Drosophila melanogaster: one gene and its partner. The protein of the gene in region 2 interacts with the protein of the main gene of each other region in a pairwise test. Each region holds a gene or a part of one and is shown on either strand. Other genes may lie near its edges.

Evidence for each region. Proteins that work in one complex are often made in the same cells at the same time.
Region 1: the proteins of PNPase (region 2) and CG31121 interact in a two-hybrid assay, tested with the Drosophila melanogaster proteins (one large-scale study listed by BioGRID).

What each region holds. Positions count from the first base shown.
Region 1 is NT_033777.3:24,890,506-24,897,482, forward strand, and holds the start of CG31121 (uncharacterized protein), read right to left. Parts: upstream 4,101-6,977; 5' UTR 3,680-4,100; intron 1,331-3,679; exon of another isoform or gene 1,070-1,330; intron 1-1,069. Other genes in the region: CG11069 (uncharacterized protein), read left to right, coding at 4,607-4,666, 4,741-4,849, 4,911-5,101, 5,181-5,325, 5,381-5,846, 5,906-6,023, 6,078-6,171, 6,226-6,364 and 3 more.
Region 2 is NT_033777.3:31,400,582-31,408,687, forward strand, and holds PNPase (polynucleotide phosphorylase), read right to left. Parts: upstream 4,872-8,106; 5' UTR 4,690-4,871; exon of another isoform or gene 4,664-4,689; intron 4,160-4,663; exon of another isoform or gene 4,072-4,159; intron 4,024-4,071; 5' UTR 3,977-4,023; coding exon 3,831-3,976; intron 3,775-3,830; coding exon 3,355-3,774; intron 3,295-3,354; coding exon 2,074-3,294; intron 2,002-2,073; coding exon 1,473-2,001; 3' UTR 1,256-1,472; downstream 1-1,255. Other genes in the region: Gcn2, read left to right, coding at 1-607, 670-796.

The DNA.
Region 1 (6,977 bases), 6.5 Mb from region 2:
CGTTGAGCGTTCAGTTTTCAGTTTTGCGGTTAGAAAACTCAGGCAAGGTCAGTTTTATTAATTGCCCAAACGGAATACGAAACTTTGCCACAGTTTCGGGCATCTTTACAGGCAATTAACGCCGAGCTGAAAACCAAAACAAATCTCTCCCCCCCCAACACGACTTAAAACCGAGTCGAAACAAAACACTTTCCTGTATTGCGAAAGACTTGTGAAAGTGGCCAACAATTGTGGGTAAAAATTTGCATGCCAATGCCGATCCCGCCGCTTCCCATTTACTCCTCCGCCTCCACGGAAACACGTGTGGTGCCACCAGGCTAATTGACATAAATTCCATGGCAAACCGAACGAAAACAGAAAAATGGCAATTTTTCCCTGCGTTGCCATTGCATGCATAAAAATGCGACAGACGGGCTTATTTGGCCAAATTCCCGAACACACCCACAGACCCAAAGACACACAGCAACTGGGTCTTATGGGCGCCAATTCCACACTCAACGAAAATGTCTTAGCTTGGTCGAAGAGTGTACTATTTTGTGGTAAGAGATTTCTTAATAATCACACTTTATTATTATTGAACATTTCTCATCTTCGAGTTGCGCAGAAATCAACATCAAATTGGTAGAATTCCATTTAATTTCGCTGTTTGAAATACAAACAAAATCTACACGACTAGCCTTCTTGGGGGGAATGAGCAATGTTAGGTGTCAGTTATTTTTCCCAGTGCAAAATGTGGGGGCCAAGTAAATATGTGACATGGTTTTTAAGAGCAATTTATTCGGCTCACGTCCAATCAAATAAGGTCTCATCTGCGACTCCGACTCCGCCACTATTCTGATTCTATGTCAGCGGCATGTCTGAACCGTGCCTGTGAACTTGGAGCGAAATGAATTGGAGTTCTCTTTTTACGGCCGTAAAAGTCACGAAGTGTGTGTAGCCTGAAATGTACTTTCTTCGCCTAATTATGCAGCTGTTCTGCTTCTGCGGCTTCTTCTTCGTTTACGTCTTCAGCTATGCTGTGTTAATTTAATTACAATAAAAAGTAAATTAACTCACTGTGGCCCCGTACCGTATCTATCAATGCCCACAATTTTCATGGTCGCAACTTTTAATGGCCCCGCAGCTGGAGAGATTGCCTATGCAAGTGGGAAATTTCGAATTTGCATTTCCTGCTCGTTGAGTTTTCACTTTGCCAGCGACCAAGGGTCTCCGTCTCATCATCATCATCATCATCATCGTCATTCCAATGGCCCGCCGCTGACTTCATCCAGAGTCCGCTATCATTAAATGCAATGATTCATCCATCCATCCATCGGAATAACCAGCGACTAAGTTCAATTGAAATTGAACACATACACATATGGAGGACTCAGGCCGAGAGAACAAGAACAAGTTTTGGCCAACTAGATGCAGCCACACCTATAAAGAACCGATCAGAAAACCAGCCTAGACCCAAGACAAAGACCAGATCCCATATACCCAATGCTAGATACCACCAGCACCCCACTCCGGATCCGAACTCACCACAAAGCCATAACTGACAATCAATTCAACTTAAGCTGGCTCTTTGCCGCGCCTTGGTCTTTTTGTCTAGACTCCGCGTTGCTGTCTTAAGTCTTTTGATTTGTTTTCCTTTTTTTTTCTCAGTTTCTGTATTTGTTTTCTTCTGGACTGGAATTGAAATTGTCGAAATTGAATTACGATCGCTGCCTGTCGGTCCGCTTCTAAACGCTTTTTTTTCTCTCTGCCCCGGAATGGCTTGATATCTTTTTTGCGGGGGGCCTGAACAGCAGCCACAAATCAGGGAGCCCCGTTAGCGGTCATAATAATACTGTTAACTAATTTACGCCACAAAAAACGGCGGCAAAAAGCGACGACAATGGGAAAATCTAGAAAAACAATCCAGCAAGTCAGCTCGAAGAAGCAAAATACATTTTGGAACTTTTTCAATGAGCTTGGCCATGGCTTTAACAGCATTCTAACGGTCCGGCCAACATGACATGGCTAATTAGGTGCGAGATTCAGTGAAATGGACCCGAAACGGAGGCTGGGAATTTGCATTGCGAAGGGCCAAAGGCATTAGCTTGACAATAATCTGCAGTTGGGGGGGCCCTGAGAATGGTGCTAAAGCCCCAAATTATCTCAATCGCCAAAATCTCCATTAGCCCGCAGCTCATTTTCGATGAGAAATCAAGTTCCGCGGCACGAAATTTTGAAAGTGATTGTGAGCGCAGATTGGCAGCTGCATCGAAATTGCAAAATGAATGTGAAAGTTGCTTAGCCGCGTGGTTATTCTTTATGAGCCGATATAGGAAGAGTACACGCCGGAATAAAGTATTTGCCTCTACCCAGCGAAAAATGTCTTTCAGACCTGTTATGGCTTTCACATCTTGTTCGAAATTAAATCCATCGCTCTCCGGGTCATCGAAATACGTGACAAACTTTATTCTTCTTTAAACATATATTGCAATCATTTATTACAGAAATGAGTAGATTAAATTGAATGGTTATATAAAGTCAAAGTCTTTTGCGTTATTGCAAAAAAAAAGAACCCATAAGCTATGCAAACTATTCTAAGGCGCATAAAAAGTTATTTATGTGCTTAAAGTATAAACATAAAAACAAATAATGGCTATAGTGCTCGATCGTAAGTTTAAGGCAGTTTTTACGAGGAAATGACCAGACCAAGACGATGCTAGCATCTGCGGGTAGAGCAAACAACCAGCGATCCCCGGAGAGCTAAGAACCCAGCTCCGCAAAGAGGCAATGGCAAAGGCAAAGACAGCCGGCCAAACAAACAAACAAACTGAAACTTGTATCTGTGAGATACACACTGGCACACAGCGAGAAATACTACATAATGATATGTGATATAAAAATGTTGGAAATATAATTTGAACTATTAAAAAACAAAATATCAAATATTTTGAATGAAACAGTTTACTAAATAATTAAATAAATTTGTTTTATTCAATTTGCAACAAGGATATATCTTTTTACACTATACTAATGCTATAGCCATTAGCTGAAACATGAAATGAAGCCATTTGATGAAACAAAACATAAATATTTAAAATATGATATATTGCTTGTATATTAGATTTATTATCTCGCTTTTTTTCCTGTGCAGCGGAGCAGTGAGCTGCAGAGAAAATAAAAGACAAGACAAACCGAGCCGAGTGGAGTTGAGTTGAGCAGCAGGCACTTGGCTGTTTGAGCGACTCCGGCTTTGGCTGGCACTTGGGTTCTGGTTTTGGCATCGAGTTGGACTTCCACTTTGGATCGCTTGGGCTCTGCAGGGCGCTGAGCGCAGGGAGAGCGGCAAAGAAGTGCCAGCAGTGGCAGTGGTGGATGGAGTGTGGGCTAAGATACATTTGCTAGACAAAACCCGCTCGCGGGATCTTTGACCTGCGATGGTGACGACCGCGCGAGCAGAACAGAACAGAACAGAAGAACAGAAGAGGGGGGGAGTACAAAAAAACAGAAGAACCAGAAGGTATTAGTATTATACCCAAAGGAATGGAACGTGGACCGTGGTGGATACTCGTCGGTTTCATTTGGTTCGAGGTGGCAAGTGCTGCCGTTGGCCTAATACAATTAACAGTAAATACCAGTTGGCCAGTTGGACTCTAATTAGCCGCTCGGTGACACTCATTCATAACTTGGGCAAAACACTTACATTACAATGTCGATCTGCTGGCTACACCGATGTCTGCATATTTTATATAGACCATATAGACACTGCTCACACACACACTCACGTCACTTGGATATTGGCCACTTTTTCCTTTTTTTATTTTTTTTTTTTTTTTGTATCTATTGGATATTCCGCGAGTCAACAAATAACCACATTTGCATGCACTTCCCGGTGGTCATTAAAAAATATTCGCCTTTGCACAGATATATGTGTGTATATTATAGCCCGTTAAGCCGTGAATATTTCAATTAGATTTCCAAATGCGTTTTATGTGTTTTCATATTTTTTTTTTGTAATTTTCTTCTGGGAACTGTGTGTTAGGGGGCCGCCAGAAAAAAATCGAATCGACGCGAACCGCGGATCGGTGGAGGCAACTCTCTCGGAGCTCGGCTCGCAGCGAACTGATCTGAACTTGGCCTCGGCCGCCATCTTAGCCCGCTTGCTTCGCCTGGAAGCGAGTTGGCCGGAGAGAGCCGCTTTCCAGGCGGAGCGGAGCGGTTCAAGCCATGCCAATTGGAATGGCAAGCAACAGTTTCAGTTCAGTTGGAACAGAGCGCTCAGTTGGTGAGGACGTGTTCGCGGAGGTAAGTGACTACCGAAGAATATTTTAATAAAGCATCTAAAATATCATATAAAATATGTATTAAAGTTTTTTGAAAAAATATGTGTTGGATTTTTCCTAATTGTTTATTGTGTAAAATTTTAGTTTTCAGTTTTAGCCAAATACCAATTTATAATCAAGTATCTCTACATCTCAATCTCACTTTTACACTCTTGATATTCTCTCTTCCCTCCCTGGAACTGAAAATCAGCTCCTAACAAACCACTCTTGAGTTACGAACAGAGTGTTTTCGGCCCAAAGAGCACGAGAAGTATAAACAAACAAAAGCGGCTCTCCCAGCGGTGGCTATGAAAATGATCGGCAGCGACTACGTACTGGAAGCCCACAACATTTTCCACACCACCGAGGTACGTTCTCTTTAGACTCGTGAAAACCCCCTGCTATTAAACCTTTATTGTTTTCTTTTTGGCCTGAACAACAGGTGGATGGTGGTGGCTGTTTCAATGGAGCCGGCAATTCGGCCCTGGTGCTCAAAGGCGTCAATCTAACCGTGCACAGCGGCGAGGTTATGGCCATTCTGGGCTCGAAGGGTATATTTTTAATTTACATTTTGTTAAAACAAAATAATAATAATCATTTTACCAACTTTAGGTAGCGGCAAGAGAGCTCTTTTAGATGTTATTTCTAGACGTGCCGATGGAGCAACTCGTGGTCAGGTGCTACTCAATGGATCTCCGCTCTCCAAGGCATTGTTCCAACAGAGATGTGGCTATGTCACCCAATCCTGCACCTTTGTTCCTGGTCTAACGGTGGCCCAAACACTACACTATACCCCCACTATAGTGAGTATTTGTATAAAATAATGAATATGAAGAGATTTTAAGTAATAACTGACTGTGTTAATACCCAAACCCTTCTTAGTTGAGTGGCTATCTGAAGAGTTCCAAAGTGCGCCAAGTGCTGGCGGATTTGGCCCTTTCCCAAGTGGCGCATAAGAGAGTGGAGTATCTTAATATCAGTGAGGCACGGCGTCTGGCTATTGGAATACAGTTGGTCAGAGATCCTGGTAAAATGATGAATATATCACAAAGATTCCTTAAATAACAAAAATGTTATTTTAGTCATGCTATTGCTGGATGAGCCGACCCATGGCCTCGATCCCTTGAGTGCCTATCTGCTGATATCCATTTTGTCCAACACGGCCAAGAAGACGGGCTGTGGAATTCTTCTGTCGCTGGAGAAACCTCGCTCCGATGTGTTCCCATTCCTGGATAGAGCCCTATTCCTCTGCCTGGGCGGAGTGGTCTATTCAGGAGGCACTCGTGCCATGCTGGAGTACTTTCATGGCATCGGATTCCCTTGTCCACAGCTCGAGAATCCCTTGATGTACTATCTCTGCCTGTCCACTGTGGATCGTCGCAGTCGGGATCGATTCCTGGAGTCTAGCCAGCAGATCGAGGCGCTGGTGGAACGTTTCTCTCGGGAAACACCGATCTCGGATGCCCCTCTAAACAACATGGGTTCTGGGAAAGTGCCTCTGGCCTATGGAAAGCCTGGAGAGCTCAAAGTTTGGGTTATGCTGTATCTGTAAGTTAAACTTACTTCTTTTTTTTCAAATATGATAAAATTCTTGACTTCGTTTTTAGGAAACTATTAGCATCAACCTTCTCCTGTGGACTCGTTGGTATGAAGACACTATTTCTGCGCCTTTTGCTTCTTCCATTGGCTTTAAGCATCCTATGGGCATTTTACACAGATGTCGGGGTAAGAAACTTAATTTTTTATACATTTTAAGCATTTTTTAATATAATTTTCTAGGACGATTCACATGGATTCTTTACAAAAAACGGCATGATCCTTAATATTTTGGGGCTGTCGTACGGTTGTGGAATTTTGACTACCATATCTTTATGTAAGTTTCGATTTTCCCTTCAATGTTAAGCTGTCTAAGCATATTTTACCATAGTTCCGATTTGGCGCAAGAAGTTCTCGCAGGATACTCCAGAGGGTCTCTATTCGGGCACAACTCTACTGATTGCCTACAACTCCGTGTCTATACCATTTTCCGCCGTATCTGCCGTCATAGCCAGTTGTGTTGTATATCCGTAAGTTTCATCTCTCTGGGTATCGGGACTCGAAACTATATATCTATTTCTTTCAGTCTGCTATTGGATGTGAAGTACAACAATGGTACTGTCTTCGCCTACTTGCTAGTGGCCCTGTGGTCCAGTTTTGTGCTGGCGGAACAGCTCACGATCGCGTTCCTTTTGGTGGTCAAGGTTCCCTTCAACGCAGCCATTGCAGTGACCTATGTCCTTGTCATAAGTATTGCACTGGCTAGTGGAACTGTGCGGTGAGTAAGGCTGTGTTCATACTATAGTTTGAGTTACTTGAGGTGTCTGTACCAATAGCTCCTTCAAGGGACTTCAACCTTGGCTGCAGGACAACACGAAGGGCACTCACACACGCTACGCATCCTCATTGCTGCACAGCATCGCCTTCCAGTCGAGGAAACTCAACTGTACTCCCACCGCCTCCGTGATCTGTCCCAAACCCGCGGATTTCATGCACGAGCGACTGGGATTGCCGGATCCCGATGTAAGTGGGATGATAATATGGTAGCTTATCGGATTATTATATTATTTATTTTACAGGAAACCATCGATGTGGCCGCTTCCTGCGCTTTTGCTGTGGGCTTGGCCGCCTTTAACATGCTGG
Region 2 (8,106 bases):
CGGTTGGCATCCGATGTGGAATTGTGGAGGCCGCCAGCGAATTGGGAGATGAAGCACAGGATCTTGCCCGCCTTGGGGCGTTACATGTCATCCTGGTGGCGGAAAATGGCTCATTGAGAGTGAGATCTTTCGAGAGGGAACGATTCCAGGAGCGTCACCTAACAAGAACCGAACTGGTGGAGTTCATCCAGAAGATGCTGCGAAGTGATGGACTCAATGGGACCACCGTGGACAACTTCAGCCAGTTGTCAGCCTTGGGTAGTGGTGACAACAGAAGCAGTGGTGGAAAGGAAAGAGAACGCGGCGAGAATGGTCTGAGCACCTCCGCATCGAATGCCACCATCAAGAACAACTATAGCCAGTTGCCGAATCTTCAGGTGACGTTTCTCACCCACGACAAGCCAACGGCGAACTACAAAAGGCGGCTAGAGAACCAGGTGGCGCAGCAGATGAGCTCAACGCTATCGCAGTTCCTCAAGAAGGAGACCTTTGTGGTCCTGGTGGTGGAGTTGCCGCCTGCTGTTGTAAATGCCATTGTGGGGGCCATTAATCCACGGGAAATACGCAAGCGAGAGACTGAACCGGAAATCAACTATGTGATCGAGCGGTAAGTTAACAAATCAATTCTATTTGGTCTGCTTTCAACTGCAACTTCATCAATTCATACAGATTTTCGAAATACAAGCGCTACATCTCCGAGATAAACGAAGAGGTTGTCGACTATCTGAGCGATGCCAAGACTCCCATTGTGGCCTTGTACAGCATATCCGATTCCTACTACCGCGTCATCATCTAGCCAACATCAAATGCATAGAATCGGCTGAACTACTTAGTAGACCAGCCAGTAGTGTAAGCTCGAAAGTGTCACAAATTATTTTCGCCGAAATTCTACTTAACTGGCTGCCCTCCGTGCCATTAACACTTTTGTTTGTTTGTGCGAATCAAAATTGATGAGATTGTATGTTTCTGTATCCATTTCAAATGGTTGAGAACTTATTTCTATTCTGCCAATTTATTGAATGCCTTTCTAGTGGAAGCTCTCATTCATAAACACATATTTTATTATAACTTGGTTTAAAGTTAAATCCATACTAAAGCTGTTCGCTCCTAAGTCAAAAGAATAGTTGGAAACTAAAATGATTCTTTTTGAATTTGTATAATTATGTTTAAACAAGATTAAGTATCCGAACTTTCTTGCACTTCGAAATTAAAGTTAAGTAGAGGCTAATATTTTCAGAGAAAATTCTTAAAAATTGTTTTATAAATAGCATCTCGGGGTTGAATCGAGCAATAACAATTTATTTATACAGCTGACGGTCAAATAGGTGAATCTTCATCCAATATTTTATATACGTACAACTTTTAAGGACAACATTTTTTAGCCTACAATAAAATTTCAAGTTTTGAAGGCGTCTTTTCGCAGACGAAACATAAGGAAAGCTCACTGTACAAGTTAATTTGCATCTTGGAACTCACGTTCCGCTCTCTCCGGCAGATTTGTTGAGCGAACGGGGGATTCCCAGGGCGGGCCCTTGGAGAACCTTTCGCGAAAGACGCATAAAGCCGGAGACGGGATCGCGGCCAAAGTACTTGACCTGGATCTCCTGACCCACTTCCAGGTTTAGGGCAGAGGGATGGGCTATCTTGCGCTGATCCAGCTGCGAGTTGTGCAGCAAAGCGGGTGGCATACTGGGATAGAGGATGACCATTACTCCGGTGTCTCGCAATTCGGTGATTTTGGCAGTGTAGATTCCGCCGAACTCCAGGTCCGGCACTCGTTCCTTCACCATGTAGCCCTCGATCAGCTCCTTGGCCTCATCCATGGCTGCTTGCGAAGGAGCAAAAACATTGAAATGGGTCTCATCGACTGCTGTTAGGGAGGTGCCCGTTTCCAAGTAAATCCGCTTCATGTGAAGGCCGCTGGGACCAATTAACTGCGCCCTCTGTTGCGGCTCTACAGTTAGGGTTTCACTCACTGGCCAGCTCTCCTTGGGGTATTTTCTAAACGATTGCGAGAGTATTATAAAATTAGCATTTAAAACCATGTAGTTCCCTTAAGTGACGTGTACTCACCGAGGTTCCCTAATAGCCTCACTCATGATGTCCAGAATATTAGATTTGGCATCGGTGGCCTTTTGTAGCGATTCCATCACAACCTTAAGAGGAATTCCCGGGATCTTGAGGTCCGCCTGGATGGCGGTGAAGCCTTTTCTCGTGCCAGCCACCTTCATGTCCATGTCGCCCATGTAATCTTCGATGCCCAGGATGTCGGTGAGAATGCGGTAGTCCTGCAGGTGCTTAGTGTCGTCGTTCTCGAACTTTGTGACCAGGCCAATGGCCACACCTGCCGCAGGTGCGCTCACTGGAACGCCGGCGTCCATAAGGGCCAAGGAGCCACCGCAAACGCTGGCCATGCTACTGCTCCCATTGGATTCCAGGACTTCAGAGGTGAGTCTTACGGTAAAGGGATAATCATTCGGCAGGGTGGGAAGCAACGATCTCTCCGCCAAGGCTCCGTGGCCCATTTCCCGGCGACCCACTGGACCAATCCGACCCACTTCACCCGTGGCATAGGGCGGGAACTCATAGTGCAGCATAAAGTTCTTGGCCTTCAGGCCACCGCTATCTAAAGCAGCCAACGAGTCAAGTTTCATTGCGCTTTCCTGCGAGTCCAAGCTAACCGTGCAGAAGACCTGCGTCTGACCGCGCTGGAATAGGGCGGATCCGTGGAGAGGCTTGTACATGTCCACCTGGCAGGAGATGTTCCTCAGCTGGTCGTAATCTCGTCCATCGCAACGCAGACCCCGCTCAAAGATCAGTTCGCGAAAAATGGTTCTACTGGTCTGGTTGAACTGCTCGGTAATAAGCGACGGTTCGGTATCCGGAAACGAACTCCACACCTTGTCAATAACGTTGGAGCGCACCTCGTTAACCGCATTGTCACGAGACATCTTGTCGTGCGTCGAATCCTGGAAGATCTCTCTCAGCCGCATTTCGCACATGCTACGAACGGCTTTCCCCAGTTCGGGATCTACTTCGGCAGCCACTTCCACTTCGCGCTTCTGTCGACCATAGGCCTTCTGCAGTCGCTCGATCTCGTGGATAATGAATTGGGCCTCACGAGTCCCTTGTTTGATAGCCTTTAGAAGGTCCTGCTGAAGAACCACATTCCCCTTGCCCTCCAACATAACGACGAGGTTTTGTTTGGTGGCGGAGACTACCAAATCCAGTTGCGAAGTCTGCAGCTCCCGGCGCGTGGGGTTGATCAGCACCTCGCCGTCGCAGAGGCCAACGCTTTGTAGGATTAAAAGAGTTATAAGCGGTTACCAGTTAGATTCGTTCGTGAGTACTCACCGCACAGCTCCAATGGGTCCATTCCAGGGAATGTCACTTAGAGATAGCGCCATGGAAGCGGCATTGATTGCAAGCACATCCGGACTGTGCACCGCGTCCATAGCCAACATGTTGCACACCAGCTGTGTCTCCGTGCGATAATCTTTGTGGAAGAGCGGGCGTAGCGAACGGTCGATAAGGCGGGCGGACAGGATCTCTTTTTCCGAGGGGCCCAGTTCGCGGCGCATAAAGTTCATGGGTATTCTGCCAGAGGCGGCGTTTTTCAGTCGGTAGTCAACCACCAGAGGCATGAATCCCTGGCCGGGATTTGGCTTCGCCTTGGCCACCGCGGTGACCATGACGGCGGTATCGCCCATTTGGCACACAGCTGTTCCATTCGCAAATCTCGCCAGGCGGCCGGAACTGAAGGTCATGTTACGTCTGCGGAGGATTCAAGACTTTGCTATTGGAACTCGGAGTGGAGGCCACGAACTCACCCATTGCTGAAGTTGACTTCCACGGAGGGCGCTTCTCCGTTGGAACTGCTTTGGATTCCTCTCCTTCCTCCTGGGCAGGACAAACTTAGGCATTTGAGGCGATAGTTGAGCAGCTTCAGCGATTTCCGTGTGAAAATCATGGCCATTACCTAAAAGTGCCGGGTGATTCCGGCTGAGGCGACAGTTCTGTACGCTGTATTTTCATGGTTATTTAAGAAATAATTAGTGGTCAAAATCTTACAATAAAAGCCCTGTACGTTTCTTGAGACTTGGAAGTTAGACTTAGAGCGCCTCAACTATTTGTATTGTTTAATTCAGTTATCTCAAAACTAGAATGCCCATTTAAAACAAAGTAGAGTGTGCAACATGTGTGCGTTCGGCGTTGCCACCTGGCAAGGGTAACAACAAATGAATTATATAGACAAACTATTACACGGATTATGTCTTAGGAATAATGTAGTAAATATTAATACAGCGTATTTTAAAAAAATTAATTTCGTTTCCAATAAGATATTTAGAAGGGTTCCCAGAAAATGAACTATTAGCTTGTGTCCCCGATAATGTCAAATTTGCAGTGCTGCCAACTCTTAGCAATGTTAGTTACAGCATGCAAGAAACAGCATTTAAATTCCTTTTCAGAAACGAAGAATTAAGACGGTATGTTCTGAAAGGTCCTAAAACGACCAACAGAATGACGCGACGATGTCCAAATCGCCAGATCTAAGTAATTCAAGCTAGCTAGAAAATAGCTGAGGCATCAGCACTACACAGTCCGCCAAAATTAGTCCGTCTTTTTACGCGTTTAGAGTTTTTTACCGCGAGTCGAAGACGTCTTTCACTAACTCAACGACGGTCTTACAGAAGACTCCAATATTTTTCGAGCAGGCAATTCGCGGATCCATCGTTAATTTTGGGCACTTGCAGAAAGCCCAGTTGCGAACGTCGTCGTGTGTCGTCTTAGAAAAGCCACTCCTCCAACCGGAAAACCGCAAGAGCGTCGAGCCCTTGTTTTGCGAGCCTTTTCGAAAAAAGCTGGGAATTTCACGCCGTATTTTTCGTATCTTTTCCGTCAACGAAACGCCGCGTGTGTCGTAGTGTGCGTGTGTGTGTTCTGTGTGCCCGCCCATCTGTGCATGTGTGAGAGCGCGCCTGTGTGTGTGAATTTTGGTGAGAGCCGCAACAACAACCGAAAAGAAAACCAAAATCGACAAATGCGGTCAAATTGAAAAGAAAAACAAAAAATCAAAGAGTATTCTTGCGCAAAGCCAAAAGGCAAAGTCAAAAAAGAGCGCAAAGCCAAAAAAACGCAGATTTCCCAACGAAAAGGCCGGAAAATTGCCCACTAGGCGTGTCGCTGCTTCTTCTTGTTCTTTCAAATTGTTTATGCTGCAATTGCAGTGGTGTGCGAAAGGAGTGGTAGAGAGAGAGAGAAGGAAAAGCGTCTTATCAACGCCCGCTTTCTTATCAGAACCCACACATTTGTTGCGAAAATTCCAACCAGCCGAAACTCACAGTGAAGCTTTAAATAGCACATCAAACAAACAGGTAAGTCTCATTAATCAGCTTGAAATCACCTTATTTTCTACTGCTCCTCGGTGGTCACAACTCACTGGCTGTTCCCCTCCTTTGCACTTAAGCACTTAACGGTAACTGTAAATTACACACACGTTGGCCTTGTCTCTCCTGGCGATTAATTGCATTAATGCCGCAGGACTCGCGCCATCCCTGTCACCCCACGCCAATCGATTAAAAAGTGAAAGCAATCGGGAAATGCTTATCAGTAGGTCCTCCTTCTTTGCTTTTTAAATGCATAAATACCCATGCACAGATGCACACATGCAAGCAATCAGCCCAACAATGCACTATATGAATATTTATAGCTCATTATTTATTGTCTCGCTGTTCCCGTCCATCATTTGACCCGCTAAAGAGGGCAGGTTGGTAAATAAATGAAAAGTTATCGAGATAATCGGTGGAATTGTTGGATCATTAATAATTTGTTTATTTTTTAGTTAACCTCTGACAATTTATCAATGACTTAGTAGACATAAGTCAGCTTGTTATTTTTGCATTTACCAAGATATCCGGAAGTAACATCTATTGCTCACACAAAAATATATTGGGCATTCACAATAGTGATGACTCACTGCCATGCGTGTTCACTGATTATTTTGACTTCTAAAATCATACATTTTATATTTACGTAAAGTTTTCAGAGCTGATATAAACATTAATTCAAGATATTTATTTATTAATCACTTGCACACTACTTCCAAAATACTGTACGTTTTATGCAAAATGTCGGAATAACATCAGAGATGTGATGCACAGGAAAATTCCCCATAATTCATGAAACCTATTTCCAAAATTAACAGAAAACTATTTGCGGTACTCGAACTCAAAATCTGTATTTTTATAGCACGAACATTGGAAAAGAACGCAAACCAATTAGTGAAACCATTTTGAAATCACCATAAATCAGCGTGATTGCCTGGCAATAAATTCCCGTTTCCATTTGCAGCTGACAAATGCGAGTCGTTAAAAATAGTTTTTCCCCAAAAGCGTAACTTTCCCCCGCTTTTCAAGGGCGACCCTCGCAATGTCCCGATGTACTTTCCTTATCGCTTCTGCATTTCGAGTTCTTTTTTCTGTGGTACGTCATCGGCAGCCGGGTGTCTCTGATTGTTTGAGAATCGCCTCGCCGGCTGCATAATTAAGACGAGCTGGACGTTTAGCTGATAAACGTTTCCACTTTTCATCGGCGGATGGGAGTCAATGTGCCATTCACAGAAGACCTCTACTCTGGTACACAGATGGTGATTGTTAAAGTCCAAGATCTCTGATGTGTGACCCCATGGGGTGCCCTTTTCAACTGTCAGGTCGCAACTATTGTTTCCATGTTTCGAGGGCTTGCGTCACAGTTTATCGACTCGAGTTGCGAGCTGCGAGCTGTGAGTCCCGAGAACCCGCAACCCATTCCGACAGGATGACGTAGGCAATTGGCAGAAACATGTGTATCCTGGGTATCCTGGGCCCCGTGCAGACAACAATAAACCATCAGCGCCAACCCCATGGGCAAATAAAACCCAATCGAATATTATTATCAATGAGGGCAGGACCCAAACAACGAACGCCAGTTCGAGCGCGAAGGAGGGTTGGCCACATGCTGCTCTTCCCTTGGCAGGATATCATTGCCAGCACTTGGACCCAGCCCACTGAACTTCCCAATTCCAATTCCAATCCCGACCACGCCCACATGCCATCATCGTCGCCTTCTGCGCTAATTTGGCGCGACTTTGACACTTGTTAGCCAATATGTTTTTGGCTCGTGTTAATGGCCCAACGGGAATTGATATTAATTGCGCCGCACGCCCCTCACGCCGCCCGAACTGGGCGTGGTCGTCGGTCAATATTGTTGGTCTCTAGAAGAAAAAAAAAAACAACAGAAAACGAAAAACACAAATGGCCCGAAAATCAGCTTAAATCAATTTTTTGTGGTCGCCGCCTTTTGTTCACTTGCTGGTTTTTGGTCCAAAATCGGCTTACCAACTTCGGTGCCTGTTTTTCTTGTGACTTTGGGCTTTACAAAGAGGCTCTAAGGTTCCCTTCTCGTTCAATCTAATTAATCCTGCCTTCCTTGATTGAGAATATGGGATTTGCCTTGCCCTTAAGAAAACCAGATTTCCTCACCCTTTGGCAGCCAATGAAAACTGAAAGCGCTCCCAATGTTTCCATTTTTCCAGGCCCTGTGTTTTCCTTTCATGTGCCCTAATAAAACTAAATTCAATTAGAACTTGCAGTTCGAGTTCCTTGTGCGTGTGGGAAAAGTTGGAGTGAAATGTGAGAAAAGTTTTGCGGAATATGTCGGAAAAGTGAAAGAGGGATGGGTAGGATCAGTGGCAATGGGCGGATGGCACATGGAGGGCTCATTAGTTGCCAAACGAAATCTCCGGAGGGCATGCAAATTTAATCGAATCACTTCGAGTGAAAAGCCACTTAATGATGGTTCCTTTCCTTTTCATTTCTAATAGATGAAAAGGCATCTGCCTAATGGGTTTTGAAAACAAGCAGCGTGAAAGGTTCCTTCCTTTAGGTCCTACTAATATGAACATAACTTCCCACGGCACTGGAATTGATTCCTTATGATTCATCTCTTCCGTGCTCCTCATCGTTTCCAAGTGCCTAGCATCCGCCTGACACACCCACCTGCCCAGTCTGGCGTAGTTCGATAAGAAGAAACAGAAATGCCTGGTGGTAATCTACAAGACAGCAATGA